Oryzias latipes: one gene and its partners. The main gene of each other region encodes a partner of the protein of the gene in region 3 in a complex. Links are inferred from orthologs where the notes say so. Each region holds a gene or a part of one and is shown on either strand. Other genes may lie near its edges. The genes, in order: nup37, nup43 and seh1l.

Region 1 (10,215 bases), on a different chromosome or scaffold from region 3:
TCAACATACCCGGACAACCCGGAAACCTGCAGCGTCCATCCGGGTCAATCCCCCGTACGAGTGCATATGATGTAGTTTTGTTGTGTGCTGTAAATGGGCGCTCAAAAAAATATCTATCAGTATCTCACGTGCTATATCAAACGGAAATTTAAAAATTGATATTTTATTTTTTTAACGAAAACCCCAAATTTGAGCGAATTTGATCAAATTCGTGGTGCTCCCAGCTCTTGAACACATCCAGCAAACGCCAGGTTTCTCCTGACGGCACAAACCTAAACTCTGGGTTCCTTTCTGCTGCCAGAGTGAGGCCTCAGACACAAGTGAGGCTGGGAAGTAAAGCCTCAGACCACATCGGGAAAACAAGGACTGGACCCTTTTCTTTCAGACCACTATCCAAGCAAAGCTCAGTTGCAAGCTACACCACCAACGGCCAAACTGTGGTCAACCACTTTGTCCTGAAGAGGAGAGCACTGGCTCCCCAAAAACAGCACAACCTCTGCAGGAGGAGGTAAAAAAAGAAAAGAAAAGAAAAGAAGACAGAAACGCCATGAGTGCAGGGATTATGGAGCAGCAACCCTCTGCTTCCAGGTACAACAGAGTTGAAAAGGACATCTGAAATTCTGTATTGTGTTATCAAATTGGGAAAAACAGCAAGAGCAGAGCTTTTCTCAGGCTTTCCCATAAGAGGAGGAAAAAGAAAACCGCCGTTAGAGCTGCGTGATTTGATCTCTTTTGTAGAGAACTGAGTAAATAATCCAAGGTGGATCTCAGGGGGGAGAAAGCTGGAAGAGGAAAAGCATATTAAACCCCTCCCAGTGCCTTGGACGGTCAGAACGGTTGGTGAACAACCATCAGGATTGATGAGGATTTTGCTTAGCTTCAAAATAGTACATTAAAAATGCACTTTGCTCTAAATCTGAGTAACATTTTTTGCCTTCAAATGTACATTTGTGTTGGTTTTTAAACATTTGTTTCTACAGCTAACTCATAAATCTACTTCACTTTTACAGCTTTTATCCGTTTCTGGTATCTGATAGAGAGAAACCAATTGTTTTGTTGACAAAAATAAAGCATCATATTATTCTTGAGTTGAAAGAAATCATCTAGAACAGTGTTTTTCAACCAGTGTGCCGCGGCACACTAGTGTGCCGTGGAAGATGGTCAAGTGTGCCGTGGAAAATTGCCCTCATTAACTGATCTAAAAACATTAACCATCTCAAGCAAATCAGCTTTTTGTTCATCCAAACAGGTCCTGATAAAACACTGAGTGGTTAGGAATATAAAAGATCATAAAATACTTTTTTCTTTGTGTTTAATTGATTCTATTAAAGACATTTTGATAAGAATGACGGCACCGCGATTTACCTGCAGCTATAACCGTTTTCTGAAAAGTCCCGCCCCTTTAACTGTCTCTGCCAATCATTCTTGAAGGCTTAATCACATGTCATCAGTCTGACCAATCAGAAGTGTTAAAAGTCTTCAATTCCTTGTTCCAATTTAGCTCATAACTCACTCATTTCCCACAAAAACACCAGCTAAAGCTCGTCATTAGCGGTGTAGCTTTCCACAGAATCCGGTATCAGACCGTGGAACAAGTGAACAAAACCATGAAGCTCAGAGACGCAAGTCTTTCTGCCGTTTTCTCGCCGTGTTCACACTACATCTCCCATGATGCATTGGCTCAAAGGGACAACGCCTCAGCGTACAATGAGTCGTCCTTGTTACACGGATTGAAACCACAACGAACATACAGTTTGTATGTAACTTAACTTTTATTACATCTTTTAGAAAAAAAACATCTGCAACTTCCTGCTTTTTCTGCCACAATTATCACAAAAATGCACGTCAGATTGCCGGGGGGGGGGGCGCTGTAGATCAAAACAGACTATGAGTTTCTGCTTTTTTTTTTTTTTTTGGGATGCTGGTGTGCCGCGGGATTTTTGTCTAGGTTAAAAAAAAAAAAGGTTGAAAAACACTGATCTAGAACCACTAGATTATAATAGCGCCCAACAAATAAATCCCAAATTACTTCGCTTACAGTGGTATGAGAAAGTTTGGGCACCCCTGATAATTTTCTAAATGTTTCTTCATAAATCATTGGTTGTTTGGATCATCAATTTCAGTTAAATATATCATAGAGCTGATGAACACAGATATTTGAGAAGTGAAATGAAGTTTAATTGGATTTAAAGAAACTGTGCCATAATTACTTAAACAAAAATAGGCAGGTGCGTAAATTTGGGCAGCCCAACAGAAACATTCCATCAATACTTAGTAGATCCTCCTTTTGCAGAAATGACAGCCTCCAATCGCTTCCAATAAGGGCCTGGATTCTAGTTGAAGGTATTTTGGACCATACCTCTTTGCAAAACATCTCCAGTTCAGTCAGATTTGATGGCTTCCAGGCATGGACAGCCCGCTTTAAATCTCACCAAAGATTTTCAATATTCAGGTCTGGGGACTGAGATGGCCGTTCCAGAACATTGTACTTGTTCCTCTGCATGAATGCCTTTGTAGAATCAGAGCAATGTTTAGGGTCATTGTCTTGTTGAAGTATCCAGCCCCAGCGCAACTTCAACTTTGTCACCGATTCTTGAACATTGTTTGTAAGAATATACGAAAAGAAAATACTAAGCCAATTGAGATGGCTGTTGTTGTGAATTTGGGCTATACAAGTAAAATTGAATTGAAGAATCTGCTGATACTGACTGAAATCCATGCCACCTTCAACTTTGACAAGATTTCCAGTACCTGCACTGGTCACATAGCCCCAAAGCATGATGGAACCGCCACCAACATTTAGCGTCTCCGTTTGTGGTATGCACGCAGAAAAGGCTTCTTCCGCATTACTCTCCCATACAGCATCTCCTTGTGCAAAGTGATGGTTGAACGATGCACAGTGACACTGCCGCCCACGTAACGACTTAGTGCTGGGTATCCCTCTGCCAGTGGGGTGAGATAAAACCAATGTTATGTATTTTCCGAGCACTGATAGCAATCCCTAGCATAGATGACCGGCGACTATTGATGACATCATCAATTTTAACGTAAATTTTAGCGCAGAGAAGCAATTTAAAGTCCCACTCCAAATATATTTTATCTATTTTCACCAGTGGAATTGAAGTTGTCTGCTACCCTGAGTGTAAGAAAAAACACAGATAGCTCCAAATACTCTCAGATCCCTGCAGTGGACCCCCTTGATCTATTGGCAGCACATTTTCTCCCCACCAGCTCCAAACTGCTCAAACCATAGAAACCCGTAGAGCTGTTTAGACTACAAGAAGCCGAGGAAGTGGAGTCTGCTTCCTCGCCTCAGTTCTGCAGCGTCAGGTTGCGTGTTGGCAGCAGCAGAGGTCCCACAACTGCAGGGGACAGAAATGACCAAACTAAGTAAACCGGTGGAGAAGGAGGCCCCTGCCAAAGGCAACAGAGTGACGGCGAGGTCATGAGCCTACACCAGCGGACATAGGGCTCCCTCCCTTTCTGCAGGACCACTTCCTGTGTCTCCTATACAGGCTCAGCTTGTGTGGGCTGACTGGATGGTCCTCTCCCCGTTAACTTGATCCATCCCTCCGTCTTCCCCCCGTGTCCCATATTTTCTCAACATGACAGAATTTAAATCTTTCAGCAGATGGAGCCCTCTCCTGTTTTCTCTGGCTGGGGACTGGGGAGAGGAGAGACTTGTTCGACTTTGCATCAGGTCGTTTGTTTCAGTCGTGAAGTTAAAAACATTGGATCGAATGGAGACAGACTTGTAGAAAAAGCCCCTAGTGGTGACTTAGTGAACTGACCTTTTATTTTAATAAAAAAGGCCTAAATCCAGGCTTCGAAGGCCGTCCTACTGCTGGTTTTCCAGAAAACTTGCCTTATCTGCTGGATCAGGTGTCTTTAACCAATAAGAAGCTGCAATGGCAGGTTGGTTGGAAAACATGTAGGACACCGGCCCTCAAGGTCTGGAATTGGACACCACTTGCATAATTCTATCCATCTGCCATTCCTGTGGAGGTTGCTGGGGCCTATCCCAGCTACTTCACGATAAAGGCCGCTACACCCTGATGAAATTTACACTTCAAGGAGAATTCATATAGGAACCAATTTAAGTGTGAAGCACGTCTCTGGACGTCTCCAGCCGGAGTCGAACTAACATCCAAAAGAGGTAACCAGGACACCAAAGGGCTCCCCATGCCTCACTTTCGCAAAGATTCTTTGAAAAATCACACTTTTGAAAAGTAAACTCTAGCGCAAAAGTATAGTTTAGAAAAATTCACGCTAGTTTTTAGCATTTCTTTTTACTTAAACAAAATGTTAGCTTCGGATTTTCCTCCACTGGTCGTTTCGGTCAGCTACAGTTTTCACAAAAAAGCTTTTAAAGACCCACTCTGATGAAAATTTAGTTTTTGATGTTTCTAACTTGTTCTTGTCGCATTTTCCTTATGTTAGAGGAAGAAAATCAAGCTCAGGAATGCATTTCAGAGTATTTTTTTATTCGAATTGTTGTGAATCAGCAGAAGATGAAAAAAATCCCATTTAAAAAAAGATGATAGAAGAAATTATGCTGGGCGGGCCAAAAGCTCCCTGCTACGCTCCATTCTAGCAGAGCTAGTGGAATTAACTTTCGCCACTGCAGAAACTATGTCCTAGAAAAAGACACAGGCTTTTAGATTGAGGCTAAAAACTGCATAATCATTATTAAAAGACCACAAGGAGCGTTTCACAATAGATCACTTCTAGAGCTGTGACGGTGTGGGATTTTTGATCACCAGTGATGAACCAGCAGGGGGCGCAGTGTCGCAACAAAAAACCCCACAACATGATCAAAGTGGGTCTTACTAAGCAGAACAAGCCAGGAAAGGAGGCGGTCATGAGCGCCAGAAAAGTAACTTCTTCAGTCTTCAGTTTAACCACAAACCCCACCTGGAGCACCTGTTTTCCTTTACAGGTGGTTGTTCTTTTAAAGCTATGTTAACATCGGCCTCCACAACGCACGTTTAAGCGAACACTTTCAATGAAAAGTCTATGTAAATGCTTGTACAGTTTTGGGCTTTCTGACTGTAAAAAGTCTTGGATTTATCGGAATAGCGCTGTGAAAGAAAAAAACCTGGAGCAAAATTTTCAAGATTAGTAACTATTCCACATTTCACACCAAGCCGTTTCTAAGTGTAGATAGATGTGCTAGTATCGACAGTCCAGTGTGAACACTATACATGCTATAATCACGTTTTTTTAAACATACCTGGCGTGAACGTAGCATAACATCTCAGCAGCTTCTGGTGCCTTCAACTACAGCTCATTGAGAAATGATGCAAGCTCACAAAAAATAAAAAACATAATGCTGACGTCTAAGAAAATTTAACAGAGATGGGAATTTACGCATCAATATGCAGAAGTTTTTTTTAAGACTTCAGGACTTTAGAAGATCACCCATTATCCAGAAATGTGACCAATCAGCCAAAAAGATCTCAAACTAAAAACAACGAAGGCTCATCCAGGAGGTCATAAAACAAGCTAAGGAGCTAAGGAAGGAAAAAAAGGTAGGCTTCACCTGATTCAGTTCAAGTCTGAGGTCCTGACTTTGGACAAAAAATATGATTCGCATGAAAATTTGAGGAGAAAGACTGAACAAAGGACTCATCTCATATTTGACAAAAATGTGGAATTTTCCCAAATATTCTGTGGACTGAAGAAACCAAGGAAGAACTTTCTAGAAGGTGTGTATCTCATTATATCTTGGGGTCATACTGACATGGAATGGATGACTTTCAGTAATTCATAAAACCATAAATTCTCCTTTCTGGCAGGAAAATGTCATTCACTTCAAGCTCAAGAGCTTTTGGCTTTTTCTGGCAGGACGGTGATTCAAATGCACTGGCAGGTCCTGAATGGATCAAATGCAGGTTTTGAAAAGGAGTCTGGCCTCAAAGCTGATAGTTTTATGGCTTTCGAAGACATTCTGGTAGAAATGTCTCTAAATTTAAACTCATCTGTGAATAACGGTCAAGAAAAAGGTCCACAGGTGTGGGAAAATCTCACAATCATTAGATGAGTGCACCACCATCTTTTGGTAACGAAACAATAATTGATTCTATAAAAGTTTGCAAAATACAAACATTACTATTTTGGAAACAAGAACTAAAAGAAATTAAAAACTGTAGTTTTCTGGGACACAGGCTATGTCCAAATTCCCTCCCTATTCCTTTAAACGGCAAATATGACATCACCAATTTCAAGAAGTGAAAATCTAATCAAAATATGACCATTTTATGAAGACTATTTATGAATCCACTGCGTTCCGATGATGAAAACTTTGATGGTTAAAAAAATGCATTTAAATGCAATTTTTCACAAAATTTGTTCAAACGCAATGTGGTCTACATTAGCCAATCTAGTGAACATTCTTTCCCACTAGCTCACAACCCCAAGCTAACATTACTGGTGCAACAGAAATGAAAGGTAATCCAGTAGCTTTGACCCAGATTCCAGCTCGGATGAGGAAAACAAAGACGTACATGGATGTATTTGTCGGCAAGTGGATAAATCAGAATGGAGCGGAGCGGGAAGCTTGTGGCTTGCCAATTGTAGCTTTTACGTTAATGTGAACGTTTTCTTTATTTCTACTTTTTTTTTTAATGTATGTATTTTTTATATTCGTAATAAACTTGTTTCCATTCCTTTCCATACGTACATAACGCCTACGACCTTTTACAAACTGCATTTTTTTAATCTGCTCCTAAATCACAACAGCTTGAATAAAGATGCAATTTCTACGCTTAATTTTCTTCAACTATGGCTTCCATAACGAGAAAAATGCTACAGGGTTGTATAAAAACATATTTTTCATCGGAGTGGGTCTTTAACGGCTACAGATCTCTTGTACAGTACACAGGGGCTGTCCCTGCACTGACCCTGGCAACTAACACACTTTTTCCCTCTGTGCGCCTTAATTGAAAAGGAAAATTTGGGAACCTTGTTAAAGGCCCCCCCCTAAGAGAGGAAAATATTTCTGCAGCTAATTGGATTTCCATATTTAACCAATTAGGTAGAAAAGCTACAAAGCAGCTCTATGCTTACGCACGGTCACATCGGAGCATGTTGTGCTTAGCATCAAGTTTCACCGTGGAAACGCTGTCAGGACTTTCTGCACCATTAACAGAGAACAGAACTGAAAATCAGGAGCACACACACACAGAATCTGGACCTGCAAGTGTGGTCGTCACTGACGGAAGCGATTCGTTTCCCCTCTGTAGGCTCAAACACCAAATGGTTAATGTAGCTGGTGTGGCCCTCCATCACCTCGGCAACGATATGGAAAAAAGAAAAGAAAAAGACACTTTAATGGAAAACAGAGAACGCACCACCAGTGAAATGTGGAGCACCTCCTGTAACCTCCCCAGTATCAAACGTCAGTGCAGGGAGAAAGTTTGATGCCAAATGAAAAGTTCTGGCCAATGTGCTCCAGATGTTGCATTACCTCGACTTCATGCCTATCCTGGAGATCAGAAGTCAGCAGGCGCAGTTTTCTGTCAGCTGCCGCCGTGCACAATCTGCAGATGAGGAAAACAAAGTTGGGTTTTAACAATAAATAAGGAGGGAAAGCAAAAGGTGTGCTTTTTCAACGTTCTACAGGCAGGCCGGGGCTGACACCTCTGGAGGAATGTGTGTGGCAGGAACCTGGAGCCTGATCAGTAGAAACTCTGCCAGGGAGATTCTAATTGCAAGCAAAGATAAACACGAAGAATGACGAGATTGCTCACGCCATTTATGCACATTCGCATAAAAACCTGCGCGGAGCCAGGCAGATGACTTTCCCTCTAATCAGCCCGCGCGTAGACCAGCGCCTGCAATCATTCACACAATTACACTACCTCACTTATGACAAGAAAAACACATACATATGACCAGAATAAACAGAAAGCGGTTCGCACATTTTCCGTCGCAGGCGCACATGGATTTGGCATGATGTCATTACAAACACTCTAAACACACTTCAGGGTTTTACCGCCTCAGGAGGGGAGATTTCTTCTGGAAAGAACCTCCAACCCGAAAAACAAGTGTTTGCTGTGGAGCACGGATCGCATGCAGCCCTCTTCACAAAACCTACTTCCAAGACAAATGTCTTTGAAATGTCGATTCAGCGCCCTTTTAGCATCACTCTGATGGGCTTTTTCTCAACAGTATCGGAGAATGGGAACTTTGTGAGACCATCGCTTTAACTGCAAAATCTAAAACACAAATATTATCCCAGGAGTTAAGTGACACTGAAAAAGAGGGCTTCTCTTTCACACAGGAAGGCAGACTTTGCTTGATTTTCATGATTCTCTTGGTGTATTTTAGCTCAGGTCTTCAAATTTGACACTGATTTAAGGTTTTGTTTTTATAAGGTGTTACCTTCAAAACAAAACATAACGTAAGCACGGAAAGGGGGAATGTTTGATAGATTATTTTACAGCAGAAATAAAGCTTAGTGTGAATAAATTTCATTTTGTTTATTTTGTGTTTTAATTGTGCAAAAGCTATTTGAAGGACGAGAAGCAAAGCTGAGGTCGGAGGTTGAACCTGAAAACTTTTACCTGTTCTGTTGTTGAGTGGATTGATTTTGAGACAGAGAGAGACAGACATCTTCTTTGCCTAGTTGACCCCGCGACCCCATCCCAGAAGAGCAGAAGAAAATGGACGGATGGATGCTGGACTGTGTGGGACTACCGATTGCTTTTTCTTGGTTAAGCATTGTAATTTTGTGGACCTCAATGATGGTGTTCAGGTGTGAAGTTGCTGAAGTTGCTTTTGATGTAAATGTTTCTCTGTGTTATGTATTATTTACCAAAATACATTGCTCTTCGCTTTTGAACACTTTTAACAAACAATATCTTGAAATTGACAGACTTTGTAGGCGGAAAAGGATAATGCGAGTCTGCTGGAAATGTCTGTTGGGTCTTCAACTCCCACCAAAGGGAGAGCATGTCAACCACCTTCATTGTCAACCCAGAAGTTCAAATCTGTGGCTGTAAAGTTCATACAACCCACTAACCTTTTGGTGGTTGCTGGAAGTAATGGATGCTGCCAAGCAGAAGAGTGGCCCATCAAGTCTGGCCGCCTTGTAGGACCTCAAGGCAACTGACGGGCAGTTCATGTGGCATGCAATGCAGGTAGTTGAGGCAACAACTTTGGTCTGGGAGCAGTTCAGGGAGGCCATAGAAAAGGACAATCAGTCGACCTTAAAGAAATTCTGGCAAACTATTTGGTGCCTCAGGAGGAAAAGAAGGCAGTTCTATGCCAGTACTGTTTACAATGCAGGTGGTGAGCCGTTGAATTTGACTAAAGACATTGTCAAGAGGTGGAAGTAACACTATGACGATCTCTTGAATCTCCCCGACATGCCTTTCAATGAAGAAGCTTCAGTCAAAAAGCTTTTCAGTGGGAAGGCACCATGAGTGGATGAGGTCCATCCTGAGTACCTCAAGTATCTGGACGTTGTGGTGCATGTTGTGTGACAAATCCTTGTGAAAACTTGCAAATCAGCAGGGGGTCACTTTTTAAGAGGAGCGACTGGAGGGTGTGCTCCACCACAAGGGGATCCCATTACTCGTTCTTCATTGGAAAGTCTATTCTTGAGCACTGGAGAATTCTACCAACAGCTGAACCTCTGATTCAGGAGGACTATGGTTGTGGAACACTCCATCAGCTCAACACCTTAAATAAAGGGCTTGAGGATTCATGACTGTTCACCCATTCAATCCACTTGTCCCACTGAAATTAACAGAATTATTTAAACAACAAAATAATGAAATAGGGCTGGACTAAAATGATGGTACCCATAACTTAATATTTTGTTGCACAACCTTTTGAGGCAATCACTGCAATTAAACGGTTTCTGTATTTGTCAATGAGCCTTCTGCATCTGTCGACAGGTATTTTGGCCCACTCCTCATGAGCAAACTGCTCCAGTTGTCTTAGGTTTGACGGGTGTTTTCTCCAAATGGCATGTTTCAGCTCCTTCCACAGATGTTCAATGGGATTCAGATCTGGGCTCATATAAGGCCACTTCAGAATAGTCCAACGCTTTTCTCTCAGCCATTCTTGGGGTTTTTTTGGCTGTGTGTTTTGGATCCTTATCCTGTTGGAAAACCCATGACCTGCGACTGAGACCAAGCTTTCTGACATGAGGCACCACATTTCTACCCAGAATGCGTTGATAATCTTGAGATTTCATTTTACCTT
Region 2 (11,009 bases), on a different chromosome or scaffold from region 3:
AAAAGTGCTTATGTTTCCATTTAAGGATCCACTTTAACAGAAATCAAAAAGTTAATTTCCAGCTTTGATTGTTTTCTACTCAGATTATAAAAGGAGAATAACAGGAGAATCCTCCCGTAGCTGCAGATGAGTTCATTCAGAACAGTATTACAGCTGTTGATTATTAGCATACATCGATCAGTCATTTGAAAACAGAGTCTCTCCATATAAATGTTGTTTTTTAAATAATAGAAAAGGGTTTTGAAATATAATAAAATAATTTTAAAAACAGGATATATTTTATGAAATCCAGTGACTTCCAGCCTTTCAGTAAGGGATCACATTCAGAGTCTGCAGAGCGTTTAACCTGCATCTGTGTTGAACTGATGAGCGGCAGAAAGCGGCGCTCCCTGCTGAATGATTTAGGTTTTGCAGCAGCTAGCTGCTTCTTACCACAAAGGTGGGGAAAGACGACCAAAAAGTACAAACATTTTTAGAGATGAAACCTTACCAACCAGCTTGATTCGTCCGGACGTTATTAAACTGGAGTCGTCTTTCTTCACGTTGTTTATGGAGTCATCTACCAGCTCTTTGATGTGGTCAATTCCTATGACCTTCCCTTTGGGTCCTACCTGAAAGGCAGAGACGTTTGTGTCCGACCCTGCAGTGATCAGATGGCGTGTTTCCTGAAAGTTTCTGGTTTGAGGCTCACCATTCGGGCGAAGCAGACCGACAGGATGCCGCTGCCGGAGCCGACGTCCAGGGCCTTGGCTCCCTCGTACAGCTGGTCGTGAAGGAGTTCCAGTGCGTAGGCATGCTGGGCGGAGTCAAAGCAACAAGAATGATCACATCTGGCCATTGCGACCAACAAAGGGCGGTCAAGCCCAGAGATTAACCAGGGCTGGGTTTCAAAAATAAACTGTTTGATTCAAACTGAGCTTTATTTAAAGAGATGCAACTTCGATTTTCTGCACTTTAAGGTGCATCCTCAATGAATGGTTTAGATTCAAACTTATTTCATAGGCGCATTAAGCGAGACAAAAGAGTCAAAAAACTAGTCAGGCAGACTTCGACGGTGTAGGTACCAAAACTGTTTGGCCTGCAATAAGTGTTCAGTGGCAGTTTTGGTACCTACCTTGTTTGCAACACATAGAAAACACAACGGATATCACTAAAACAAACGTTCTGTGACGTCACAACCTTGTTAGTAACACCTAAAAAAACAGTCTAAACATTAGCTGCTTGAGCGTAGTTACAACAACACCCAACCAAACATTTTGACAGAGCACCGTCTACTTCTAAAAATCGCTTCAACATCAGTAAACCCAACCAGAATTAATCATATATGAGATGCTCCAGATTATAAGATGCACTGTAGATTTAAAAAAAAAAAGTAGGCTTTTAAGTGTGCTTTAAAATACTGTATGTAAAACCAGTTTTGTATTTAAGAAATTTGAAAGAAAATGTGAAAGAATTGAATTGAAATATTGTATATATAGACATAATTGAGTCCAGATGAGTTCAGGTTTTCTCAAAGAGTCCTCTGGAAGGTGGAGACCTTCATACCATGTGTGGGGCGCTGATGGTGGCCTGAAAACCTGTTGGTTAGAAGCAAACATGGGCTCGTTGATCACTCAGAAAACAGGCCAGAGTGCACAAACTATGGCGTCCATGCACCTACCTATGGACTGAGGCGAGTCCATGTAGGGGTTACACCTGGAGAAGTGTGCTCGGTCTGTGGCCAGCATGGCTTCGTACACCCTGTCGGATTTGATGATGCCATTTTCTGAGGATGCAGAAGAGTTTTTGTCAAAAGTGAGGCAGAAGAGAACCACACAGTCCTGCAGACGAATATGCAACAAGAAAGACACACGAATGAACGCATTGAGTTAAATCAGACAAACATGGAGTGGTTGGTATCCAAATAAACCTTATTCCTTATGCTACCTACACACCAGGCATGTGATGTGACCTGAAGAACGCGCTAAACGGGCCTTCTTGAACGCCCTATTGCCACATGTGTTCACACTGGACTGTCGCTACCCGATATTAGTGCATGTACTCACAGCTGAAAGAGGCTTGGTGTGAAATGTTAACACAGGGCACAGTAAGAAAGCGGCATAGCAAAAACAATATTGGCTTTGCAGACCATGGACTGCAGCGGGACAGAATTATGGACATAAAATTTAGATGTTGTAATGTTAACACTCAAAAGAACAGTCACACTTATCTAAACAGGTTGCATTTACACTGTAGTTTGTGGATTAAAGGGCCTATTTCATGCTTTTCCAATACTTTCACAATGAACTATATCCATGTATATGATAATATATTACCTTTGGCACACTAAAGAATGATCTTTTTATGAAATACGAGTTATTTTCACACTTCATTTTCCAACCCGGAAATAAGACGACTTGGTCTCTGAGGCTCCGCCTTTCTCTCTGTGTGGGTGTCGCCCATTGCATGACCTCAACATAGAGCCGGCCTTGGCAGCGTGTCTGAGTCTCCCAGGAAAACAAACAACATCCAAACCTTTACAGGGATGGATGTGCATACTGTGCAGAGTAAAGGAACGTGTTTTGACCAATCACCACTGGCACCACGCAGAAAGTGTGTGTGTGTATTCCTGAATAAACACACAAACACAAACACAAACACACACACACACACACACACACACCCCCCCACACACACACACACAGAGTATTCCTCTGAAAACCTAAGACGTTTTTAGAGGAATACTCAGAAATGTAAGAACAGATCAAAATACTGCTTTGAGGTTGTTTACAGTGAAGAATGAACATTATAATACACTTAAAAGCTAAAAAAAAGTTGATTTTTCATGACCCTTTAAGGAAGATACATGAGCTCGATTTCTTATGTTTGGAATACAATCAAAAGCTTTATTGTCACCAAGCAGAAAAAATGAACAATGAAGACTTAAATATTAAGAATGCACATGTAAAATATTAGCAAAATAAGATGATAAAACTCTTGAGCATTATTATATACAGTCCACATGATCACTTTTTTAACTGTACCTATTTGCATAAAGCCAATATAACCACAAAAGGTCCTTAACAAAAGCCTGCAGGGTTGAAAGGTTCAGCCAGAGGTGGCAGACTGATCAGCATGCCTTCTGCATGTGGTCTGCTTCAATCCAAATGAAGTGTGCTAGTCGGAAGCAAACATGTCTGGACTGAGATAAGCAGATATAGAGACTGATGCCCTCCTAAACACGCAGCTATGGGCAAAAAAGCGAGCAATGATACCCCTGACAGCACAGAGAGTATAAATAGAGCTGGCAAATACTTGACAGTGAATGTTGACGCACACTCAAGTCTGCAAATATCGTATTAAATTCACATATTAGCATTAAATAAGTTGATGTACTGGCTTAAAGGCTTATTATGAACAAAAAGGCTAAGTGTCAAAATGACATTACCATTTATTCCGAGTTGGACTTGGCACTAAGTCGCTCTTTCGATGTTGCTAGCTGCTATCGTGACACAGCAAATGTGAATTTCTGTCTCGTGCAACAGAAGGGTGGTTTCCAGAGTCGAGCTTTACGGTTTAAACTGTTCTCGTCAGTGAAATGACAGCGCAGTGGCCAGTGCAGACAGACATCAATGGATGTGGGCAGGGCACACAGCTAGCGCCGCTGCTAACGCTAGCTACATGCTCCTACATGACGCACATACATAGCTAGCTGGCCGGGCTAACATCACAATACACCCTAAATATTTAATGCAAATATTATGTAATTTGGGTGTTTAGTGCTTTTATTTTGATCTAAAATGACAGAAGCGCGCGCGTGTCCCACGGCGTAACGTGGTTTGGCAAAAAAAAAAAAAGGGGGTGGAGAAACTAGGGGCAACAGTGGTTAACAGTTTAAGCAACCAGCTAGCTACCGCACCTGCGCTAACAAGCACGCGCCCGAAAACAGTTTTCCAGCGTCGCGCGGGTGAATTGCTTGCCGATGCCACCTTAAAAACGCTACAAGACTCACTGCGAAGGTTGGTGACAAGTTCTGCGTGACTGGCTCCTCCAGATTTCCAGGCCATTATTAAGCAGACTTTGCGGAGTAAGTAGACAGCAGCTGTCAGTGCCGCGCCTGCGCCAACAGTTTTCCCGATGAAGCTCGCAACCTCGAGCGGAGACGGCGGAGCGGATACGTCACCAGACATCCAAATGATTTTATTACCGGGCCGCCTTTCACATACACTCCCTTTTAACAAAACACGTACAGTTTAATAAAATACAAACCCAATTAGATACGTACTGAGCCCAGTGTCAGTTTAAAGAGGGAATTCCTCTGTCTCTGCTTTATTGGAATTGTTGGGTAATAAAGAAGTCGGCCGCTAGGGGGAAACAGATTATCTATTAATTTAAAGAAGAATAGCACACTGTGATCTGGTCTTCTCGGGCCACCGTAGTTACGTATGAAGCAGCAGGCGCGTAGTTTCTCGTGTAGTCCGTAAACTGAAAACAACACTTCAAATTTTAACAAAAAGGCTTCAATTTCCATGGAGAGCATAAATGCCAAATATGTGTCTCAGAAAATCAGTAAGACGAGATGGTGTCCGGTTTCCTATTCTTCACTGCAACAACCAGAAGTCTTTGCTACGGGCTCGTGGGACAACGAGGTTAGCTAGTAGTACTACTACTAGCGCAAAACCACACAAATTATTAAGATCGCTTGCTAATTAACTCAATTTTTTTTATTAATTTAAATTATTTAAATACACTTTAAAAAATTGTTTTGATTCATTTGTCGTCGTGATTTAAATGTTCACTGAGTTTAATGTGAAACCCGTTGATTTATAGGACAACAAGGTGTCTATCTGGTCCATTGGAAATCACAACAATTCTGGATTAGAAGACGGATTTGAAGGAGACCCACAAATTTTATGTGAGCACAAACATGGCGGAGATGTTCTGGACCTGCAAGTAAGAAACCCAAAAGCTTCTAATGACGGAATCATCGGTGTTGATGTTTGATCTGTGGAGCCATTTCTTTATTTAGGCCTATAAACAAACTAAATGAAAAATAGAAATGAGCACAAAACCAAAACGAAATTTTAAATGTTCCCTTTTCTGTCATTAAAATTATTCAGCATGTCAAATAAGTGTCAGCAGTTATAAAGTCATAAAGATCCTTCAGAAGCTCACACCCAAATGTTTGATCAATTTGTGTAACTATTTGATTACATTTTTGTTCAATTCTTCTGGATTTTCCCACTTTATTATGTTGGATGGTTCACTCAGATATGTGTGTTTTTAACATGTTTTTGTAGCATTTTTCTCATCATGGAGGACAAAAGGATTTAAGCTTAGCACTGCATTTACGAGGACTTTTTTATTTAAATTGTAATGGATAAGGACCCGGTTTGCGATGCAGCAACTGCCATTGGCGGGCCAAAGTCTCCCTGTTCCGCACGCAGACAAATAGATCCACATCCGTCTTTGTTTTCCTTTGTCTGAGCTGGAATCTAAATCTAAACTGTACGGCAGGTTGTTTTTTTTTCTTGTGCTACGCTAATGTTAGATTGGGGTTGTGAGCGGCTGTTAGGTAGCAGGAAAGCGTGTAAACAAAGGAATGCTGGGAAATCATGGTAGGGTCACTTTCACGCTAACAGTCCCATCCACAACCCAGAAACAAATTTCTAATGAGCTTCTGTTGCTCTGCAGAAATTATGTCTTAAGGAACAACACAGGGTTTTTGATTTTTGCTAAAAACTGCATAATCATAATAAAAAAAACACTGGGAATGTTTTTACAATAGGTTTTAATTTTAAATGATTTTAAATGTGTACATTGTTTGGATAAAGTAATTTTTCTTGTTTTTCTTTGTTTCATGTTTTAGTTCTTGGACCAGGAACGGATGGTCTCAGCGTCATCAACGGGAGCAGTCACTATTTTCCGCTATCATCCAAACACTCATGTACGTTGTTTCTTTTCGGTTTTCTTGAGGAGAAAACAAAATGTCATGTTTAAAAACGGGTTTCCTTTTTGTTTCCTGAACAGACCATTTCAGTTCTGCAGCACTGGGCGAGGGCGCATAGCTACCCTTGTGACAACGCGCCCTGCACCGCCTTGGTCTGCAGCAGCCCGGAGATTGTCACTGTCGGGGAGGACGGCAGGATCGTGGTCTTCAGAGCCGACCAGGAAGGAGCGGTCCGGGTCATCGGTGAGATGAGGACTCGGATGTTACCGCCTCATCAGGAGTCGAGTCTAAAACTGTCCGTTGTGTTTGTTAGAGAATGCAGACAGCAGCACAATTCACGCGGTGACTTACCTGAAGACCACGGAGGTTTTGACGGTGAACTCCATTGGCCAGCTGAAGCTGTGGGACCTCAGGCAGCAAAGCAGCTCCCCATCGCAGATTCTGTCCCTGTAAGAGCTCTGAAATTTGATGTATTTATTATTTTTTTATGTATCTTTATCCTTTCAGAAACACACCTTTACTTGTTTGTCTTTTTTTCCACCAGGTCAGGAGACAGAGCTCCTCTGCACTGCGTTGACAGACATCCCAACCAGCAGCACATCGTAGCCACCGGGGGCCAGGACGGCATGCTCTGTGTGTGGGACGTGAGACAGGGGGGCACGCCCATCTCACTCATGGAGGCACACTCGGCTGAAAGTCAGATCCTTTCTTTATTTCACTTTAAACATATCTCTGGTTCTGTTTCACTAACTTTCCTTTGGATTTCCTCGTCAGTGTGGGAGGTTCGCTTCCACCCCACAAACCCGGATCACCTGTTCACGTGTTCGGAGGACGGCTCGCTGCTGCACTGGGAAACTGCCTCGCATTCCGAGATGCCCTCATTCTTACAAGGCAAGTCGTCATCAGTGAAGAGGCACTCCGATGAAAATTTTGTTTTTTGGTGTTTCCAACATGTTCTTTTCTTTTTTCTGATGATGGAGGCAGTTTGAAAAAAAAAACCCAGCTCGCTGCTCAGAGTTCTTAGCAGCATAATCATAATAAAAAGACCACAGGGAAGGCTTTTACAATGGATCCAAAGATGATTGGAATTGGAACTTTAAAAAGAGAAAGCCATGGATCAGATTTGAAGCTTTTATCTTTATGCATTCTTCTTTCTTTATGTCACTTAAAACACACAGGGTCAAATCAGGATCATCTCAAATTGACTGGAAAACCAGATTTTAAAATTGAAACTCTGAAATACAGCTGTCACTGTTTCGCAAAGGTGGTTTGGCAGAGTTTTAAACCAGATACCCTTCCTGTACTTATTCAGGCTAGTGTTATATGGGGGCGGGGCTTTGAGCCCATTGGTTACCATGACATGATTGATGTTGTGTGATAGAGGTCATGACAATGTCATTTCCACTTCAAAGGAGGGATGACTCGAGGTTACATTGTGTACTTTTGAATGTAATTTTTTTCTGGAAATGTTTTTCATTCACTTTAAGCTTGAACATATAGACTCTTCAGTCTGACTCCTTTTTTTTTTTTTTAATGCGTCCTCTCCATTCATTTCTGTGCAGAGCTCCGAATATTTTGACAACAATTTCTGATTTCGCTCCCTGGTGTCTTTGACTTTCCAAGTAGAGATTTAGCTAATTTTTATTTCCTCCTTCCTCCTCAGCGTTGTAGCTCTCTGAGAATTATTTAGACATTTCTCTCTCTGGTTGTTGACTCTGAGGACACAGTCATGACTTTGCACATTCCTCTGCTTTGTGTTCATCAAACATCCCTTCACTTCAAACTAAAACGATCTTGTTGACAGCTCAGAAGTTCTCTAAAGTCTAATTACAGCTTATCAGTCCTGATTTGTACAACAGAGATTTGTGTGTTTTGGCTAAAAACAAAGTCAGTCTTTTGAAAGGGTTAATATGAGACAAGATTTGTTATGAAATTTTAAAGAAGTTTAGAGTTTAAAGCCAATGACGCTGAAACAAATACAGGGACAATAATCTCAATCCTAGAGTGTAAACTCTGCATTTTTGATAGAATTTGGGGTAATTCTGAGAATATTTGCAGTTGGGGGTGAACGTTGGATTGTTTGAACTGTTGACAGGTGGCAGGAACAGCAGCGTGATCTCCCACGGCGCGCTGACCCCCGCTGGCGGGAACCGCCCCCTCAGCAGCGCCTGGCTCTGCGGAGATTCTGGCAAAGGCTGCCTGGAGACGACGCACATGCTGCCCAGCCAGACCATGTCCGTCAACAGCCTGGACATCATCGGACAGTGTCTCGTCTGCGGCACCGACGGAGAGGCCATTTTTGTCAACAGACATGTCCCAGTTTAAAAAATAAGTGTCTTTTGTGAGGAAAGAGATGTTACTGTCCTCATGTTGTGTTCTGACTGTGTTTTGTACAGATTTGATTTAAAAGGTTATTAAATTACAAATAAACGCTCAAATAAGTCTAAAAAGTTGTTTTATTGTCAGTCTTGTTTTTTTATTTTCCAATATTTACGATTATTTGATAGATTTGTATTTACACTGTGTAAAAAAAAAAAAAAAACAAACAAGTCAGCTGCTAAGAACACAGGGAAAAATGGTCTTGATTTCAAATTAAATGTGTTAAACATCTTAAAGTAATACTTCCTCACAGAAATTCTATTTTTTTTTTTTACTTGACTGTTGTTTAATCATCTTTTGAGGACTAATACTCACAGATGAAGACAAACATATGAAATTATACTGCCTACCTTAAGGAAAATTCATAGTATTATGAAGCACTAGTCATTTTAAACAATTTGAAACGATTTTTTTTAAAGATCTTTTTCTTGTAATCGTTTTATTTCTGGTTTGCTTTTTATAAATTTTTAAGCAATGGGTTGTTTTTGATCTCATTCCCTGTTTGTTTCTTGACCCTTGATAGTTTTATTTTGAAAGCGGCGGCCACCGGAAGTGCAGCGCTGCACTCTGACGGCAGCGTTTACTTGTCATTCAGACATCCCGGGAATCCAACGCGACAAGGAACCAGTCACCGCGGCTCAGACATTTATCCATTTAACCTGCGTCCAGCGGAATTAACCCAAAAACACATCGAGCCGTTCAAACAGGGAGACAAGCGGCCGCTTCACGCGCTGGTAGGTTCCGGTTCTCTCTGCTGGTCTCTGAGCAGCCGCTAACCCTCAGCTGCTGTTGAATTTTAGCAAACACAGCAGGCCGTAAAGAAATGTTTGTCTTTGTCTGACGAATACAGCTTATTGTTTTAATCACAAACGACACCTACTATGTTTATAGTAAGGTAAAAAGATTTTTATTTTTAAGATATGTTTACATATTTAATGTTAATTGACGTAGAATTAGCGTCAAAGTAGCGTTTGTTAGCTAACAGAGCTAACAAGCTAGCATGTTTTGGTGTTACAAAGAAGACAGTTAACTTTTAAGTATAAACATGTAAAATACATTAAATGTCACCCGGAAGTAGGGATATAAACGTATTAAATCTAAGCTTAGCTCCTGTTTGTGACGGAAACATGGCCCTGTTTTTCAGTGCCCCTTTGAATTGAATTGAATTGAATTGAATTGGCTTAACCTGTTTGGTAGCATAACATGTATTCTTTGTCGTTCTCACGCTGCTGAAAACACATCCAGCTGAAGCATGCTGCTGTGAGGACCGACCAGAGCCTGCACTGCTGTTACCCTCTTCATCCTCCATCGTCATCGTATATGATCCTACATGAGGAGAGCGGAGAAGCCCGAGGGCTACAGACAGATGAGACCTAAGACCTTCCCCGTCAGCAACTACAATGGCAACAGCCAGCAGATGCTGCAGGAAATACGCAACAGCCTGCGGAACCTGACCAAGCCCTCGGATCAGCCGAAAGGGGACACCGGGGGACCTGGAAAGATGGCCCCTGAAGATCCACGGCAGCAGGGGCGCAGCGGGAACCTCAAAAACCAATACCAGAAGGCTTTACAGGAGATCCGCAAGTCCCTTGTTCCGTATAAAGTGAACGGTTCTGGGGACGAGGAGTCCACCACGTCAGGTGCTGATGGAAACAAGTCCCAGGACCAATCTGGGTTTGAGGAGGTATGAGGAATGCGTTTAGTCTTCTTAGATAATTGGATTCCATTCTGTACATACTTGTGCGGCTGAGGACGGTCACATGGTGCACTTTGTTTAGAGAGGAGTTATGTAGGAAATGCCAGGTATTTGACAAGCTGGTACAGTTAATACCATGGAAGCTGCATAGTTAACGATTTGCGGGCGTTGGTGTGGAGGAGGAGGAGGAGGAGGTCTGTCATCTTCATCTGTGCGTTCTGAAAGCCTAATGATGACGTGTTGATGATTAACACTCCAAAAATTCACAACATTTGAATTTTTTTCTTTCCTGTATACATTTCAAGCTTATTAATCAGTTGTTCTCTTCTGAAGCCATCCAGTGGACGCCGTGGGGGGGTTGCCTCAGACTACATGTTAAAGCCGAGTTACCAGGACCCAATGAGAGATCAGATGACTGCTTCCAGTTCAAACTCTTCAGCCCTGAAAGCCCCGGGTACGCACTCCTGTGGTGACGGTTGCTTCGTTTGATGACAAGTGTTTGTGTCTATTTGGCTGGTTAAACATTTGTGTGTAACCCAACGGTCTCAGAGATGTGCGGTTCTGGACAGAGAGGAAACATTCTGTTGTTTCTGAGGATACATAGAACGCCTTCGGTTAACGGCGAGGAGCTTTTGTTATTCAGACACTTTTCTCACTGTTTCACCTTATTAGGTTCTGCTCGGTAAAACTGAAATTTTTTTTGTGTGAAAACGAACATTTATGAAATTCTTCAGGTTATTTAGGAAAGCTTGAATTTAAAAAAAAAATCCCTAAATAAAATTAAATAACTGAGGGGAAGATTCCATTCATGTAATCTTTTGCTGTGGTTTGTTAATCTATATTCCTGGTTTGTGTTTAATCCCAGATATAATCCCAATCTGGCTAAATTTATGGTTTCAAGGCATTGATTGATTTCAAATCAGATTATTATCCTGCATGTAAGCAGTTTCACTTTTTGCCAAAGATGGAGCTGTTGTGCGGCATTGAATGTGTGCTTAGTCTAAC
Region 3 (10,744 bases):
AGAACAATCACAGCTCTTCTGCCTCTGCTAAGGACAGCAGTGCTCTGGAGGAGTGTCTGTGAGGAAGACTCTGCTGCTGCTGAGGCTGAGGAACCAGCTCAGCATCGCAGTGCTCTATGAGGGAGGAAGGTGGCAGCAGGTGACCAAACCTGCTGCCCGCTCTGGGAGCATCCAAAGGTGGAAAGAAATACCTGAAGCAAGAACGGACGGACAGGCAGAGGAAGGGAAACAGAGTCGAAAAATACAGACAGGGAAGAACAAAATGAGGAGTGCACAAGGGAGGACATGAAACAGGAAGTAGAATAAAAAATTAAACTGAGAAATGAAGTATGTCTGCAACAGAAACTAAACAGGAAGTAATGTCAGGTGGGCCGGAACGAGACTTTTATTCTTTAAAAAACCACCCTAATAAAACCAGTGTGAAGCATCAGACAACCTGTCAATCAGGGAATCAAACCTAGCTACTGTTCATGCATGTGGTTGTTGTGCACTAAAAGTAATGTCAGTGAACCCCAGACATTCCTTCTGTGGGCAAACAGCTATTCACCAGATCATTAGTAATATGCAGGAGTCTGGTCTATCTTTGAGGAGGTCAGCGGCCGCAGGGGAGGAGCAAACGGAGCTCTCCTGCCAATCCTGCATGCAACAAGCAACACAACAGCAAATTACCTTCAAGACGCTCTGCTCACACACACACACACACACACCCACACACACCACACACACACACACACACACACACACACACCCACACACACCACACACACACACACACACACACACACATCACTGGACACAAGGTGAGTCTGTGACAGAGAGGGCGCAGCACCCACAGCTGTTATTCTGGTTAAAGGCCAGGCAGGACGTCCGGCCGTTAGCCCAGGATTATTTACCCGAGCACAAATACAGCCACGCATCCAATCTGAAAAACCCCAGACCCCCCATTAATCCTTTGTGCATCTGCCACGCTTTTATTTGTGAGCATTCTGCTGAGGAGCATGAGCAGCTGCTGCCAGCAGAGCTGTGGATGGCAGGACGAGCCCTCAATCCCAACTTCCCCGGGACTTTTCACAAGAGACGGAAATGAAGGTGGTTTGAGATTTGTTGATCAGGAACTCCCTTGGTGTTGGGCTCAACATGTTCCATAACGAGAGCTTAGTTTCCACGGTGGAGGTGGCTGTATTTATCCTCACATTTCAGTGTTACGGGTTATTAAGGTTCATTCAAGCTTCTCCCCTCAGCAAGGAGTTTGGCTACAGCTGCACCAGGATGCTGAGACTCAACGCCGCGTCTCACAGCCGCTACGTACATTTTGCATGTTTTCCATGTATGACCTTTCGGTCTTTCATGATACATGCGTGATAATCCGAACTCATGTTTCTTGCGTTTGTTGTTCATCAATGTGCGCAGATGTCCGTCGAGGGTGTCGGCTGACGGGCCTTTACGTGAATTTGGTTTTAAGCTGTTCAAAATTTTCAGACAGTTCAGAGTTATGCAGTTTCTGCAATCGTGCAAGATTTTTGCGAAATGCGTTCGCGAATTTGTGTCCACATAATGGACTTTTCAAGCATTAGCAGTGATGTATTTTTATATCACGTTTTTTAATTGACGCACAAATCATTAAAAAATTACATATGAAAAGCACAATCATCACACCCTTGCGCTATCTTGTGGGGTCCAGATGACCCCACTCTTGTGGGGTCATCTGGACCCCACAAGATAGCACAAGGGTTAAATTGATTTTTGTGGTGTTTGCTTGGTCTTCACAAGAAACAACATTCCCCTGAAAAAAGTGGAGCACATTGCAAACTGACAGGAGTTTTATTTCGATTTTTACAGCTGAACACCCGTTAGTCCTTTCATACAACAGAGGGAACATTGGCCCTCTTATGCCATACAGCAATAAACAAAAAACAAAAAAAAACCCTCCCAGCACAGAAAGATGTCGACAGCCAAGCTCTTTACAGGAGGCGCGGTCGGTGTGAGTCCAAATGGCAGGTTCAGTTGTTTCAGTGGCAGCTCCGGGTCAGTGTGAGCCCACACGAAGCAGTCAGGCTTTAACGAGGGGGTGTGGCCGCAGATGCACCACGCCACCTACCTTCCTGCTGATATCCCATTCAGAGCATTCTGGGAGAGGAGGGAAGAGCCCACCATGGTGCTGATGGGCTGACCTGAAGACGCGCTCAGCGGGCTGCCGTCTCCCCTTAGGATGCCGGTGCACTTCCAGTTGTCCATGTAGTTTGCTGCAGAGCATTCATGCAGAGGACAGCTTAGGGAAGAACTGCGGACACCTTCAATACACCAAAAGCTGCATTCACCTCAAACACGATTCACACATGAAGGGCATCCAGTTCAATGCCAATATACAGTCCTGATCTGAGGTCCTACAGTGCCACATGAGCATCTGGAATGTTACATCGATCTGGCGGCAGCATAAATTTGGGTGTGATGAGGCATCAAAAATCTAAAGCGAAGAATTCACGCCATGTCAACCAATCAGGGGCTCAGCTTTGGCACATGACGTGTTAATGTCAGCAAGTGGAGCCTAAAACCAACATGGAGGAGAATCTCATCGGTCTCCTCCTGAACTTTATATTTTTCTTTTTACTTTTAAGACAATAACAGAAATGTCCTCTAGTTTGATTAATGCTGGACAGCAAGTGGTCAAACTGGGTCACAGAGAGGTGGAAGAACCGCTGAAAGCAGCAGGCATTCAGACGCAGCTCCTGCAGTAGACGGTGAAGCTCTACGTACTGGAGGAGTCTCTGAATGATCCGATAAACCCAGACATGGAGATGTGATTACTAGGGGTTGACGGAAAATTTATTTAGCGATACGTCGCGATATTTCATTTGGCGATATTTGTATCGATTCAAAATGCTGTCCAGGACGACATTTTTTTTACCGTACTTTCACGACCATAAAGTGGACTTAAAAGTCTCACATTTTCTCCAAACTATAGGGGCGCACTATGAGGCGGTGCGCCTAATGCGTAGCTGTGAGGCGTAGAAGAAGACGGGGAGGGAAGTAGGGGTTTGAACAATATTGTGTAGTGACCTAACTGGAGCTTCACTCTGTATGCGGTGGTAACGACTGAGCTGCCAATCTACTGGCTGCGTTGAGAAGCTGTACATACACTTCCCAACCCCAAACAATTCAAGTCGAGTCGAGGAGCGGTGAAATCCATGTTTACTTCAGCGTGGGCAGTACTGATCCGTTACAGTGATCCCTCGCTATAACACGGTTTACTTTTCACGGTTTCGCTACTTCACAGATTTGCATGGTTCATTGTGTTCTGCATTCTGATTGGCTAAAAAGTCACTCTGCTTCTTCTCTAACTGTGCGTCAATGACGTTGCAGTTTAATATGTACACGTACATAAAACAGCTTGCCAAATTTACATTATGTACGTGCAAATTCTCTTGCAATTTCGAGTTTCTCTAAAACCCATAGAAAAAAGAGAAACAACATCTTCCTATCACTATGTTCTTTCCCCCAAACAAACACAGCTGCACCGCGGGCTTCAAAAGAAGAAAACACTGCAGAGCGGAGTCAGGATGCAGCGGCTCAGTCTGCAGAGCAGTGAAATACACCTGAGTCACTATTTGTCCGACTGTACTTTGTATTTTATTCATAATCATTTTAAAATTTTCTCCCGTTTAATCCAATTACTTGGGTCATGGGGGTGGGGCTAATCTCCGCAATTTGAAGCCTTCTGTTCACATCGATGATTAAAATTATTATTTGACAGTACAGTACAGAAGTTATTTGTTGAAAAAAAAACGTTTCTAAAGTACTTTTATTTGTGAAACAAATGCTTGAGCCTGTAAAATGGTTTGTTATTTCTTTTCAATGTATAATAGACTATTTAATTATATAATAATTGTAAAAAAATTAAAGGTTTCTACTTCACAGATTTTGCCTATCACGGGTTCTTTTTGGAACGTAACCCCCGCGAAAAACAAGGGTTTACTGTACATTTCTTTTTCCTACCATGTTTTACCCCCATTAACATTAAAATAAATGTTAACATGCAGTACATTTTGTGAAACATTTAAGAGCTTATCATCATTTAATATTTAAAGACATACTCTGACCGTAAAATGCTTTTATGTATTTTGCGCACATGCGTTGACACATCAGGTAGCGAGAGTAGAGCTCTTCAAAATAAACTGACTTGATCTCTCAACTTCTGTGTCGTCCATGTATTGTAAACGACAAATACAGTCAATGCTTTCATGTAGAAGACGCATGAGGCAAATAAACATTAGCTCCTCCCACATGCGTCACAATTATGAACCTATTTTTGGACAGGTAGCCAGCAGCGAATCCGACATTTGTTCCAGTTGAAGCGGCCAACGCAAATTTGTGAGCGCAGCATTAGAGGTCCAACACTGAACCTCCAGAGGAGGCCATGTTTCTATTAATCATGTACCCATCTCAGGAAAATAAGAAAACGGTCGCTGCACTGCAGACGATTGCCGACAGACGGCAGCCGTCTGTGTTCCTGCTGAAGGTGGACCAGCTTCTTACCCTTCCATAACCGCACGCAGCCATCGTCCCCAGAGGAAGCCAGCAGGGTGCTTGTGATGTTCCAGCTCACACGCCACACCTGGGAGTTGTGATTGTCGAACTGCGCAACAATCTGCACCTCAAACTTGCTGGGTCCGGTGGATGAGCTCTCCTTCCTGTTCCAGAGAACCAAGACACATTTTCTGTTCATTTTCTTCCTCCTTTTATTTCAAAAGCTGTGTGCTTCGAGAAATGCACCAGAACACATGATGATGACAATCACCTCATGGGGGCAAGCTTGAATATTCTGACATCTTTTGTTGCAATAGCGAGAACATGGAAAGATCTCCCCAGGTTGGGAGCGAACGCGATGTCGTGGACTGCGTCGGTGACAGTCATCAGAGTCTCCACTTTGCCGTATTTCCTTTAGAAGAAACAGGAAGTGTCAGGAGGCCGCTGCATCTCTGGCCGCTGTGTGCTGAACACGCTCACCGTGTGTTTTCGTTGTACTCATAGATCTGAACCTTCCCACCGCTCGCGATGTTGCTGTCATCACTGCCCACGGCAAACATGGAAGGGTGAGCCCGTGAGCTGGGAGAGAATGATGAGATGAGATGATTCAGCAGAAATCCGCCGCTCCTGCCTTCACTCCGACCTGTCATCAGGCAGTGGCGCAGACGTGCTCTTCGTTTGTGTGTAATGCCATGTGGAAACTTAGAATGACACTCTGTGCCCAGCTTCACAGACACATGGAGCAGAACTGAACCTCCATCAAACTTATGGTCTGGTCAGCTCATCCAGAATATGAAAAAGCTATATAACCTGGAGGGGTTCCATGAAATGCAGCTGCAGCTGAGCTTGCATGAGATCTCGTGTTGCAGCGACCACTGGCTCAGGTTCATCACATCCGGAGCTTCGTAGATCCTCACCACGCCGTCCGCAGAGCAGGTGGTCAGCATCAGACCCATGTGTTTAGGAGCAAACTTCACATCGGTCACTGATGTCCTACTGTCCACAAGTGTGGTCCTCTTAATCTGGAATGGAGAAGCAAGAAACACTCACATGACCTCCACCTGCTGCAGGTTGTCGCTGCAACTGCCCGCTCCCAACCCAGCACTGACCCAGTGGCTCAAGCCTCTCTGCTTGTCGTTGGATTCTCCTACAATCTCCTCCCAAACCGCAGCGGTTCGGTCAAAGGAGCAGGAGGCCAAAACCTGCCCGAACTCTGGATGAGCCCAGGTCACTCTCCACACTGAGCCGCTGTGTGTCTGCAGAGAGAAACCAGGAGGAGGAGGCTCACATCTGTTCAGCACAGAAGGTGGAGTTCGGCGTGAGGATGGAGGCGTTTTACCTTCCAGCTGGCTGTGCAGAGCCACTCTCCACTCTCGCTTTTGTCCCAAACCTCAGAAAAACAAACAGAGCTCTGAATGTGACACATGGCCGCGCGGCAGCCCGGGAACGGTTCATCACAGTCGAGGACCGCGGGCGCGAGCTCAGAGGCTAACGTTAGCTTACCTTCACACTCTGGTCACTGGAGCAAGTCGCCATTCTCCGGCCGTGAAAGTCGTACGACACATCGTGAATTAGATCTTTGTGATCCGCCGCGATACTACGAGCCACAAACATGATCCCGGTAGCAGCGCGCCGCCAGCGATAGCTTCACCAGCGCGTTAGCAGGCCTACCGCAGAAATCATCCAGCTTTGAGACCTGCTTTTTTTGTTTAACTTTATTGTACAAAACGGAAGTACAATACAAAACACAATTTTACAAAATAAACTTCAGGTATGCCAGGGGAGCATTCATATTACATGCATTTTACATAAAAACATTCAGGTTTCTACAACTTTCATATAAACATACAGCTTTCTGATTAAGACTTTTGGAGATGTTACTGATATACATTTCAATTTGTTTGATTAACAAGGGGAAAAAATAGAAGATGAAGGAAATTTACGTTTATGAATATAAAATTTGCCAAAAATAATAATAAGATTAATTATGAGTTTTTTATTAGAGGCCAAGTTTTTATTATGAAAACCAAATATGATATATTCATACTTCAGAGTAAAGTTGGGGTGGATTTGTTTTTCAATAAATTGTAAACTTCTAATCTCAGTAAAATTCCAAAAAAGCGGTTAATTGTTTCTTTGCAATAAGGACAATTAGGATCAATTGTTTTAATGTATCTTATCATGAATTGATTGGTGGGGTAAATTCTGTGAATTATTTTAAGAGAAACTTCTTTCATTTTATTACTTATCATAAGTTTGTGGGTCACACTCCAGGCTTTCCTCCAAATACTTTCAGGAACAAAACGTCTTAAAGGAATTTAGGAACTTGTGAGGAATTTAGGCAGAAGTTGAGGCAGGTCCTGGGTGGTCAGGATGAGCTTCCAGAGGACTGGGAAACTACAGCAGAGATTATCAGGGAAACAGGTAGGAAGGTGCTAGGTGTGTCATCTGGAAAGAGGAAAGACGGTAAAGAGACTTGGTGGTGGAATGAGGAAGTACAGGAATGCGTCCAGAGGAAGAGGTTGGCTAAAAGGAAGTGGGATGTAGAAAGGACTGAGGAAGGTAGACAGGAGTACAAGGAAGCGCAGCGTAGAGTGAAGAGAGAGGTGGCAAAGGCCAAACAGAAATCTTACGATGAGCTATATGACAGGTTAGACACAAAGGAAGGAGAGAAGGACTTGTACAGGCTAGCCAGACAGAGAGACAGAGATGGGAAGGACGTGCAACAGATAAGGGTGATTAAGGACAGAGATGGAAAGGTGCTAACAACCCAAGAGAGTGTACAGAAAAGATGGAAGGAGTATTTTGAGGAGCTGATGAACGAGGAAAATGACAGGGAAAGAAGGGAGGAAGATGTGGTTGTTGTGGAGCAGGAAGTAGCAGAGATTGGAAAGGATGAGGTTAGGAAGGCTCTGAAAAGGATGAAGAGCGGAAAGGCCGTTGGTCCTGATGACGTACCTGTGGAGGTATGGAAGTGCCTAGGAGAGACAGCAGTGGAATTTCTAACAAGGTTGTTCAATAGGATTCTAGAGAGTGAGAAGATGCCTGAGGAATGGAGGAGAAGCGTTCTGGTCCCGATCTTTAAGAACAAGGGTGACATGCAGAACTGCAGCAACTATAGAGGAATAAAGTTGATGAGCCACACAATGAAGCTGTGGGAAAGAGTAGTGGAAGCCAGGCTTAGGAAGAAGGTGGAGATCTGTGAGCAGCAGTATGGTTTCATGCCCCGTAAGAGCACCACTGATGCCATTTTTGCTTTGAGAATGTTGATGGAAAAGTACAGAGAAGGTCAGAAGGAGCTGCATTGTGTGTTCGTAGATTTAGAGAAGGCGTATGACAGGGTGCCGAGGGAGGAGCTGTGGTACTGTATGAGGTCGTCTGGAGTGGCAGAGAAGTATGTCAGAGTAGTTCAGGACATGTATGAGAGAAGTATGACGGTGGTGAGATGTGCTGTAGGTCAGACAGAGGAGTTCAAGGTGGAGGTGGGACTACACCAAGGATCAGCTTTGAGTCCTTTTTTGTTTGCTATGCTGATGGACAGGCTGACAGACGAGGTAAGACAGGAATCTCCCTGGACAATGATGTTTGCGGATGACATTGTAATTTGCAGTGAGAGTAGAGAGCAGGTGGAGGAACAGCTAGAGAGGTGGAGGTTTGCTCTGGAAAGAAGAGGTATGAAGGTCAGTCGTAGTAAGACAGAATACATGTGTCTGAACGAGAGGGATCAAGGTAGAAGCGTTAGGTTACAGGGGACTGAGGTGAAGAAGGTGCAGGAGTTTAAGTACTTGGGGTCAACAGTTCAGTGTGATGGGGAGTGTGGAAAAGAGGTGAGGAGGCGAGTGCAGGCAGGTTGGAGCGGTTGGAGGAAAGTGTCAGGAGTGTTGTGTGACAGAAAAGTGCCAGCAAGACTCAAAGGAAAGGTGTACAAGACAGTGGTGAGACCAGCTCTGCTCTATGGGTTAGAGACGGTAGCAGTGAGACAGAGACAAGAGGCTGAGATGGAGGTAGCAGAGATGAAGATGTTGAGGTTCTCCTTAGGAGTGACCAGGTTAGACAGGATAAGGAACGAGTACATCAGAGGGACGGCTCATGTTGCCTGTGTTAGCGACAAAGTCAGAGAAGCCAGACTGAGATGGTTTGGACATGTTCAGAGGAGGGATAGTGGATATATTGGTAGAAGGATGTTGGAGATGGAGCTGCCTGGCCGGAGGGCAAGAGGACGACCAAAGAGGAGATATTTGGATGTCTTAACAGAGGACATGAAGTTGGCTAATGTTAGGGTAGAAGATGTCCATGATAGAGTGAGGTGGAAAAGGATGATTCGCTGTGGCGACCCCTGATGGGAAAAGCCGAAAGAGAAAGAAGAAGACTTTCAGGAACAAAACGTCTCCAGTAGGTTTTAGAACATAGTACAGAAATGACATCCCTTTGAAACAGCGCCGCTCGAGTGACGCCAGCGAAGCTGAGGGGAATCACCACTGGGGAGCGCTCCAAGCATGGAAGCATCAGTTGCATAATTAAAAATAAGTCAAAAGCCTACGTGCACGATAGAACTTCCGGTTAACTACCGCGTTTTGAGTGTAAGGCCGACAACTTCCTGTTGGTCGTGTTATTGTTGTGGGGAGTTTTGTTGAGTTGCTAGTTTTCAGTAAATATGAGCGGATTTCGGGTGAAAGAGAGGCATTTGGTGTTTCAACGCGTGACAAAGACATCACAACATTGTTGTGTACCCCTGTGTGCGAATTCGTCAAAGTACAACAGTACTATAAGCTTTCATAACTTTCCAGTAGATGTGTCAGTGAGAGCCGAATGGATGGTAAGAGTACGGCGGGAGGACTTCACCCCAAGCAAGACGAGTCGTGTTTGCAGCAGGCATTTCCAAAAGGGCGATTTTGTTAACAACCCCGGGAAATTGAGAAAGTTGAAGAAAGGCAGAAATGCTTTTTTCATTTTCAAAACGTTTTCTTGTTCTTCTTCAACACTACTCATTCTGTCACTTAATTAAAATTATAAAGAAAATGGTCCGCTCAGCAGGTGCACCAATCAGTGGGACAGAGTGGGTGAAGGGGGAGCTGGGAATACCAGGTGCTGTAATGTTTCCCGCTTTTACTCACAGCCACCAAAAAGAAAGAAAATCACACACACAGCTTTGGGTTGCATAATTGTTTTTTTTTATTTTTGTCATTTATTTTTTCTGTGTGTCTGTCTTTTTTTGTCCAAAACCTCGGTTAACACCCAATGCTGCAACTCCAACCTCTGCAACACTCAATCTGTTCGGGGTTACAAACATTCTGTACATTGGAACCAAGTAGATTTTCATAAATTCAATTACTGTCAGTTTAATATATTTTTACATTAATACAAAATATAAGTGAAGTTGATAAACTCTTGACCAAGATATATATGTATACATGTATTTATATATATATATAAACTTAAAGCATATATTTTCTTCTTCCAAAGTAAAAAAAAGAAATACTTGTGAAAAAATGCTATTTTCTCTTTAGTTTTCAACATTTATTCATGACAATGAAACAATTCAGATACAAATCTTAATCGTAACAAAATGGAATTTTCTGAGCTCTAAGAGTTTTTTTCTGCTGCTGACATTTTAAACACGCAGGTTGCTACACCAAAAGAAATTCCGGTTCCGGGTTACGGGCAGGGCGCGTGGCGTGCCTCTCTGCGAATACAACTATCTTCAAATTACTTAAAAGGTTGATTTTCCCCCAAAAAAGAGAGCTGACCATCCCTCCGAAGAAACCCCAGGAATACGAAGACCTCAAAAAGACTCTTGACATTATTCAAGAAACGCTGAAAAGTTTTATGGAACAAGTGTCGGCTAAGCTAACGCCACTTTGGGAGATGATGGAAGAGTTCCGAAGATTCCGGGCTCAAAACGAGCAGCGAGAAAACCGGGTCGAGATTCTGGAGAAAAGACTGGACGATGTGGAACAGCAAGTAAGGATGAATAATGTCATTCTCACTGGAGTACCATTCAAGCCTCGAGCGAAGCTGAATGCAGCAGGAGCTAGCACTGCTAATGCTAGCGCTAGCGTAGCTAGCAGTGCTAATACGGTGATCGGGGCAGAGTCTTTGGAGCAGCAAATACATTCATTTCTCACATCTAAAGGGATTACCCTGAATCTCAATACCATCGAGACCTGCCACCTGCTCCCCAGGAGAAAGGAGATGGATAAACCAGCGATCCTCATCAGGT

What was found.
Region 1: seh1l (region 3) and nup37 share a complex: the UniProt entries of both Homo sapiens proteins name them as parts of the nup107-160 subcomplex of the nuclear pore complex. The link is inferred for Oryzias latipes from reciprocal best matches to the Homo sapiens genes SEH1L and NUP37.
Region 2: seh1l (region 3) and nup43 share a complex: the UniProt entries of both Homo sapiens proteins name them as parts of the nup107-160 subcomplex of the nuclear pore complex. The link is inferred for Oryzias latipes from reciprocal best matches to the Homo sapiens genes SEH1L and NUP43.

What each region holds. Positions count from the first base shown.
Region 1 is NC_019881.2:20,084,136-20,094,350, reverse strand, and holds part of nup37 (nucleoporin Nup37), read right to left. Parts: intron 7,542-10,215; coding exon 7,469-7,541; intron 7,291-7,468; coding exon 7,196-7,290; intron 1-7,195. UniProt on the Homo sapiens protein: Component of the Nup107-160 subcomplex of the nuclear pore complex (NPC). The Nup107-160 subcomplex is required for the assembly of a functional NPC.
Region 2 is NC_019882.2:17,707,081-17,718,089, forward strand, and holds nup43 (nucleoporin Nup43), read left to right. Parts: upstream 1-4,390; 5' UTR 4,391-4,508; coding exon 4,509-4,628; intron 4,629-4,809; coding exon 4,810-4,932; intron 4,933-5,848; coding exon 5,849-5,926; intron 5,927-6,009; coding exon 6,010-6,172; intron 6,173-6,242; coding exon 6,243-6,378; intron 6,379-6,473; coding exon 6,474-6,625; intron 6,626-6,703; coding exon 6,704-6,820; intron 6,821-8,024; coding exon 8,025-8,254; 3' UTR 8,255-8,383; downstream 8,384-11,009. Other genes in the region: pcmt1 (protein-L-isoaspartate(D-aspartate) O-methyltransferase), read right to left, coding at 491-611, 692-796, 1,546-1,577, 1,661-1,765, 3,992-4,169; serine/threonine-protein kinase LATS1, read left to right, coding at 9,639-9,992, 10,338-10,458. UniProt on the Homo sapiens protein: Component of the Nup107-160 subcomplex of the nuclear pore complex (NPC). The Nup107-160 subcomplex is required for the assembly of a functional NPC.
Region 3 is NC_019874.2:7,220,958-7,231,701, reverse strand, and holds the start of seh1l (nucleoporin SEH1), read right to left. Parts: upstream 6,253-10,744; 5' UTR 6,139-6,252; coding exon 6,028-6,138; intron 5,915-6,027; coding exon 5,864-5,914; intron 5,781-5,863; coding exon 5,634-5,780; intron 5,547-5,633; coding exon 5,335-5,546; intron 5,104-5,334; coding exon 5,005-5,103; intron 4,937-5,004; coding exon 4,796-4,936; intron 4,689-4,795; coding exon 4,534-4,688; intron 2,244-4,533; coding exon 2,099-2,243; intron 637-2,098; coding exon of another isoform or gene 555-636; exon of another isoform or gene 198-554; intron 192-197; coding exon 8-191; 3' UTR 1-7. UniProt on the Homo sapiens protein: Component of the Nup107-160 subcomplex of the nuclear pore complex (NPC). The Nup107-160 subcomplex is required for the assembly of a functional NPC.